Arabidopsis thaliana: one gene and its partner. The protein of the gene in region 2 purifies or fractionates together with the protein of the main gene of each other region. This does not show direct contact. Each region holds a gene or a part of one and is shown on either strand. Other genes may lie near its edges.

Region 1 (3,760 bases), on a different chromosome or scaffold from region 2:
GATTCTTAATTTTAGATATGCTTTTGTTCCATTCCATTTCATAAACTCGCTTTTCATCCTTTAAAACGCTAAAAGATGGTGAAGGTGAAGACCATTTCTGATTACTTTCATACTTTGTTGACCTAGGTAGGTTGTAGTATGTAGTATGTTCCAAAGCTTGGGATGTTAGCCTTAGCCCATTAAAGTTTTACATGATTTGTTCAGAACGTCTTAGGTAGTTCAGTCTTTCTGTTTACTTTCATTCTTGTCCATCAAATATAGTGTTTTTTTTTCCAACACTCTCATGCCATAAAACTGATCATTAAATAAAAGCAAAGGTCAATCTCTATTTTCCAAATCCTCCACAAAATTCAAAGGAAAAATCTTGAAACACACTTTCATCTATGTCTTTTCCATTACTAAACAAGCATGTGGCCATTTAGTAATTGTACCCAAGGCCAACCCAATCTGACCTAATAGGATTATGCTTTTTTTTCTTTACTTAATATTAAATACAAAATAGTAATGTGTGAAAGTATATAATAAAGAGTTTTTTCAAAAAATATAAAATTCACATAGTTTTAAAAATTATATATCTATATATACATTTTTGCAGCCATTTTGTGAAATAAATCGTGTAGTTGGGACTTAGTTACAATGGTTGCCACTAGATTTTAATGTTTGTTTTTGATAATTAGAATAAAAACTTCGAATTAAATATTTGACATTTAACAATCTTTCTTAAATCACTCAACATTAACTACACCATTAGTTACTAAAATAAAACTTCCAAAATATTTAATATCATCAAACCATAGAGATATTTGATAGCATTTAATTACTACAAAATTACAAAATATTTAGACAATAATTCATAAACATATCATAAATAAGATCAATATTAATAAAATAAATGGTTTTTTTACGGGACGGGTTGGCGGGACGGGTTTGGCAGGACGTTACTTAATAACAATTATAATTATAAAATAAAAATATTTTATAGATATATACAATTTGCAAACTTTTATGTATACTAACTTTAAAAAATAAATTGTTTCTGCAGTATACCGCGGGTTAAAATCTAGTTTATATATATTCGCTAATTTTAAATCAATATTAACCAATACGTTATTCACTCGTTTCAAATACATTAATTCAATAACATTTTTGATATAAAAATTAGATATTAATAAATCATATATTCATATTAAATCCGCGTATTAAATATATTACGATAATTTATAACTATAGTATATTTTTTACTTTTACGTACTTATTTATAAATATATTAATATATACCCTAGGTATGTGAAATTATGAGATTCTGTCATTAGAAAAATATATAAGCTAATGCCACCTATTATTTACCTTTTTTAATAAAGAAAATAATATAAGATAATAATCAAAAATTTATATTCTTAAATAGTTATACCTAGGAAATAATAGAAACTTTAATTTATAAAAAAAAAAGGAAACACGTATTGGTGATCAATTTATCAATCCACCCTTGAAAATACAGCTAATGACATTATCATTGCTTTGCTTTAATTTTTATTTTTCCTTAATTTAATTTACACCACGGCGGCCCCACACCACCCCAAATTACGAATACATAATAGTTGGAAAATAAATGGAAATAAAAATAAAATATATAATTATCCCTTCACAACCTCATCCCTCCTTCGCTACCTTCGGACCTTCCTCATTCCTCCTCTTAGCTTTAGCCACTTTTTAACCCTAGTTTTTCCCGCCGCCACCATCCCCCATGGCTTCCGAGGCGAATCAGCTTCAGCAAGCGCAACTCGCGATGGTTCTCGGCTCCGATTCCGCGCCCTTCGAGACGCTAATCTCTCACCTCATGTCTTCTTCCAACGAGCAACGTTCCTCCGCCGAGTCTCTTTTCAATCTCGCTAAACAAAGCAATCCCGATACCCTCTCTTTGAAGCTTGCTCATCTTCTTCAGCTTTCTCCTCATCCCGAAGGTCGTGCTATGGCCGCCGTCCTTCTCCGGAAGTTGTTAACACGCGACGATGCTTATCTATGGCCTCGTCTCTCCCTCTCCACTCAATCTTCCCTCAAATCTTCGATGTTGTATTGTATTCAACATGAGGAGGCTAAATCGATCTCTAAGAAGATTTGCGATACAGTCTCTGAACTTGCATCCGGGATTTTACCGGAGAATGGATGGCCGGAGTTGCTTCCGTTTGTTTTCCAGTGTGTTACTTCTGTTACCCCTAAATTGCAGGAATCGGCGTTTTTAATCTTGGCTCAATTGTCGCAGTACGTTGGGGAGACTCTTACCCCTCACATCAAGGAACTCCATGGCGTGTTTCTTCAGTGCTTGAGTAGTAATTCTGCTAGCTCCGATGTTAAAATCGCCGCTCTCAACGCCGTGATTAGTTTCGTTCAGTGTCTGGCCAACTCAACGGAGAGAGATAGATTCCAAGATGTTTTGCCTGCGATGATCAGGACGTTGACCGAATCTCTGAACAATGGGAATGAAGCAACTGCACAGGAGGCACTTGAGCTTTTGATTGAATTGGCTGGTACCGAGCCACGGTTCCTTAGACGGCAACTTGTTGACATAGTTGGTTCGATGCTTCAGATTGCAGAGGCTGATTCCCTCGAGGAGAGTACACGTCATCTTGCGATTGAGTTTTTGGTTACTCTGGCTGAGGCGCGTGAGCGTGCCCCTGGTATGGTCAGGAAGCTTCCTCAGTTTATTGACAGGTTGTTTGCTGTTCTTATGAAGATGCTCGAGGATATTGAGGACGATCCTGCTTGGTACAGCGCTGAGACTGAGGATGAAGATGCTGGCGAGACAAGCAACTACAGCATGGGTCAAGAGTGTTTGGATCGGTTAGCAATTTCTCTGGGAGGAAACACCATTGTTCCGGTTGCATATCAGCAGTTTTCTGCTTACTTGGCTGCCTCTGAGTGGCAGAAACATCATGCTTCTTTGATTGCACTTGCTCAGATTGCTGAAGGTTGTTCAAAGGTATAATTTTTAGTGAATAACATGTCTTAATGAACTTTTTCCTTAATTGTTTCATTGTTTTTACTTTCAATTGGATGTTAAATAATGATTGATTCTGAGTTGATTTATCTTTGTGGTTTTCAATCTGATAGTGAATATCTTGAACTTTGATGTAGGTGATGATAAAAAATCTAGACCAAGTGGTGTCAATGGTTTTGAGCCAGTTTCAAAGTCCTCATCCTCGCGTAAGGTGGGCTGCTATAAATGCGATTGGACAGTTGTCTACAGATTTGGGTCCAGATTTGCAAAACCAACATCATGAGAGAGTGCTCCCCGCACTTGCTGCTGCTATGGATGATTTCCAGAATCCACGAGTGCAGGTAAGATCCCCTGTTTCTCTGTGAATATAATCTTCTAACACTTTCTAAAGCAGTACCTTGTGACCTTTTCATGTAGGCTCATGCTGCTTCAGCAGTACTCAACTTCAGTGAAAATTGTACTCCTGAAATATTGTCACCTTATTTAGACGGAGTAGTGAGCAAGTTACTTGTGCTACTACAAGTAAGTCCATTGTGTAAATTATTTCTTAAGATAAATAGCTAAAAAAGAGCAAATATTTTGCACTCTATTGATTTTAAATGATTAACTTTGGATTATAATGGTGTTTCGTACAGAATGGTAAACAAATGGTGCAAGAAGGAGCTTTAACTGCTCTTGCTTCAGTGGCTGATTCATCACAGGTATTTGTAAAGAAGTTGTGTTGCATCTATTGTTTTCCCTACATGCAACTCTTGATCTAAGTCT
Region 2 (3,760 bases):
CTGGTACAGGATCATTGGCTAGGACAAACAACCCCTGAAGGTACTTATCCAATGAATTGTACAAAGCCTGCCAAACTCAGATTGTTACCATTTACGGTCCTTAATAACATATAAAACAAAAACGAAGCTTACAAGTAGTCTTCGCAATACTTACAGCAGGCATTATAATGATATACTGGTTCACAGAACCCAGGGCAAGCTTCCTCAGTGAAGCATGGGGTGACTGAAAAAACTGCTCAAAAAAAGAGAGGTAATCAATCTTAACGCAACCAATCCAACAGGACGAAAGAAATCAAACTAGAACCTAAACAAGTGCTACAACCGAGTTCCAAAATCTGTGTAGGAATAAGAGATGTTTACCTGTAATAGCCTAGGCAGGAAAATGTTGATAGGGCGTTCTGCTAAGCCAGGCACTTCTGTATCCAAGACATGCGGAATATCCTCACAAATCTGATTGATAAGAATACGACATGTAGATATTAGAAAAACTTTGAAAAAAACTCCAAATATATCATCAAAACCAACAATCACAACTTTGGATTACACAAGCTTATGGTTCATAAATCAAAGGTTCAACGAAAAGAGCAAGAAACAGAAAAGAGAACACATAGCTGCTACATACCTTTGACAATGCATCCATAGCACCATCCATGTGATTAAGGTCATTACTGTCTAAACAAGTAACAAGAGCTGGCAAAAGCTCATGCCATCCAGAAACTCCCTCAATATTAACAATAACACTGATGATAGTTCCAACTGTAGTCCGTATATTCCTGTCCGCTGCTCCCAGACAAGGCAGTAACTCTGACTTGATATATTTTTGGTTTTCTTGAGTCATGGATGGATAAGCACCCCTCAAATTATTTTTCAAAAGCAATCCAGCAGCTTGACGAACCTCAACAGACTTTCCCTGATCATTGTACAAGCACACATCAGCAATTTAACAAACAGACATAAATGCATAAAACCTAATCAAACAACAGCAATATGAAAAACTCCAGGTTGTTCTTGCCTAGGATCTGCAAATAGACTATGTAGATCCAACTAAATTGAAATAAATATGAGTTCTCAAGATAGAAAGACACTATCCACTAAAAATCACACAACACTTTTTGTTATTTGGATGCAAGTAAACTTCAAGTCAATTGAATCACAAAGGTCATACTATTGACAAAGAAGAATTATTCAGAAGGAGACATAGACGAATGTTGAGTGAATTAAGATATAAATGCATAAAACCTAATCAAACAGCAACAGCAACATAAAAACTCAAGGCTAGTTCTTGCCAATGCAAATAAATATGAGTTATCAAGTGAAGAAGACACAATCCACAAATTCTACACAACATTTATGTTATTTGGATACAAGTAAACTTCAAGTCAATTGAATCAAAAAGCTCATACAACAGAAACATCAACTATTGACATAGACAAATATGATCAAAAGGAGATATATCCATCCATTAAGGTACAGAACAGAGAAACTCATAACGAGAGAAGCAATGTTCTAAAGTCTGAGAATCTTAAGCAATTCAAAGGAAACGTAGATTCAACTAAAGCTAAGCAACAAAGAGAATCCGATAAGCAAACGAAAATTCAACGATCCGAACTCATTCGACAAATAGATTGAGTCAATACGGAGAAGAAAAAAAATCTCAGGAAGCGAAGAGAGAGTAGAGAAAAGTTCCAAAACCTCAGCGCGAACGAGGATGAAGACGAGATAGTTGTTGAAATCAGGAAACTGAGAGAAGTGTTGAAGCTGCTTCCAAATCTGAGACTTGTCAACGACGGAGGAAGGAGAAATCTGTTGTTCGAGAAGAGAACAGATCTCAGCGAGACCATCGTCTCGGGGTTGCCAGACCACCGCCGTCGCCGCCATGATTGTTGTGGCAAAAAGGTAAATATGACTCGTGTGAGAGGGCAAAAGAATATGATTCTTTGGACAAAAAAAAACGCACAGCAAAAAAGTTTGGAAAAGACAGGGACGACGACGAAGAAGAAGAGAATGGAGAGACGCTACTAAGTTGGGTTTTGTTGGGTTTTTTGTTCTGTTCAAGTTTTCTCTTATGGGCTTTTTATGAGTTTATCTATTTTCTTTTAAAGCTGTTAATTAAAAGAGAGAGTTTGCAAAATAGTAACTTCTTCTTGTTTTTGTAAATTTCATTTGTCTCCTAAATATTCTTTTTTTTTGTCAACCATTAGCTTGAAAAAATAGAGAAAATATTAATTAATGTTGTCCAAAGAATATAGGAGAAAAATAAAATTTAGTCTATAAATGTAGTTAATATGAAAACCTGAGTTGTCCCATAAAAAAAATATGTTTTTTTGTAGAGTTTATGTTTTAAGAAATAGAATTTCTTGGATTACGAATCTAGAATTATCAAAGCATTGGCTTGTAAACACAATTTATATACTAAAATTCATATGTTCATTTGGATCGGTCATTTTTAAAAAATTAATAATATATTTTTGTTTATAACTTTTAAAAATTAATTATATTGCATAAATTAGTATTTGATTTGTTTAAAGCCTTGATGTTTATCAGAAAAAGAAATTATTTAGGGATATTAACCATTATTTATGGGATGAGCCTTCTATATACAAGAAAGGCGTATATGGTTTATTCAGAAGATGCATAGTTGAAGAAAAAGTCCAAGGAGTCCTAGAACATTGACATGGCTCTGCTTATGAAGGACATTTTGCAACCTTCAAAACTGTTCAGAAGATACTGCAAGTTGGGCTCTAATGGCCAACCATGTTCAAGAATGTTCATAAGTTTATAGCCGAAGGATAAGAAATATCACCAGAAAAAATGAGATGCCAAAGAATCCTATACTCGAGTTTGAGATGTTTGATGTCTGGGGGATTGACTTCATGGAACTTTTAACCCATCTTCTTAGGGAAATAAGTATATCTTGGTCGTCGTAGCCTATGTCTCCAAGTGGATTGAAATAGTTGCAAGTCCAACCAATGATTCTAAGGTAGTTTTGAAACTATTCAAGAGTATCATATTCCCCATCTTCGGTATACCAAGAGTGGTTATGGAGGATCTCACTTCATGAACAAGATGTTTGAGAACTTGCTAAAGAAGTATGGAGTGCAGCATAAGGTTGCGACAGCCTACCATCTCTAGACTAGTGGTCAAGGTGAAGTCAGCAACAAACAGATAAAAACTATCTTGAATAGAATGGTTGGAACTTCAAGAATATACTGGTCCACCAAACTCGATGACACTCTACAGACTTATAGAACAGCCTTCAAAACTCTAATAGGAGGAAATAAAAAAATAGAAAAAAATTAATATGATGTTAAGTCCAACAAAAAAAAATAGGAGAAAAAACATAAAGTCGTCTATAAATGTACTCAATATGAAAACTTGAGTTGTCTTATCAAAAAATAATTTTTATTGTATAGTTTATGTTTTAAGAAATAGAATTGCTTGGATCACGAATCTAGATTTATGAAAGCATTGGCTTGTAAACATAATTTATAAAATAAAATTCATATGTTTATTTTGATCAATCATTCTTTAAGAAAAATGTATTTTCATTTTTAATAATTTATTTAAATTAATTAGATTGCAAAATTAGTATTTGGCTTGTTTATAACTTATCCAAACCCTTGAAATTCAGGACGCCTTATATCGGGCCTCGGATTTCGTCGTCCACAAAGAGAAAATGGAGTTGCTGGGAAAGAGGCATAAGCCAACGAAGCATGTGCCACGAACTGAGAAAACAAAGACCAACTTCCCGAGCCAAAAA

Evidence for each region. Proteins that work in one complex are often made in the same cells at the same time.
Region 1: the proteins of TRN1 (region 2) and emb2734 fractionate together in Arabidopsis thaliana (co-fractionation; one large-scale study listed by BioGRID). This does not show direct contact.

Annotation. Positions count from the first base shown.
Region 1 is NC_003076.8:6,699,232-6,702,991, reverse strand, and holds the start of emb2734 (ARM repeat superfamily protein), read left to right. Parts: upstream 1-1,636; 5' UTR 1,637-1,744; coding exon 1,745-2,977; intron 2,978-3,132; coding exon 3,133-3,336; intron 3,337-3,412; coding exon 3,413-3,517; intron 3,518-3,630; coding exon 3,631-3,696; intron 3,697-3,760.
Region 2 is NC_003071.7:7,352,057-7,355,816, reverse strand, and holds the start of TRN1 (transportin 1), read right to left. Parts: upstream 1,971-3,760; 5' UTR 1,879-1,970; coding exon 1,693-1,878; intron 911-1,692; coding exon 623-910; intron 451-622; coding exon 361-450; intron 233-360; coding exon 151-232; intron 76-150; coding exon 1-75.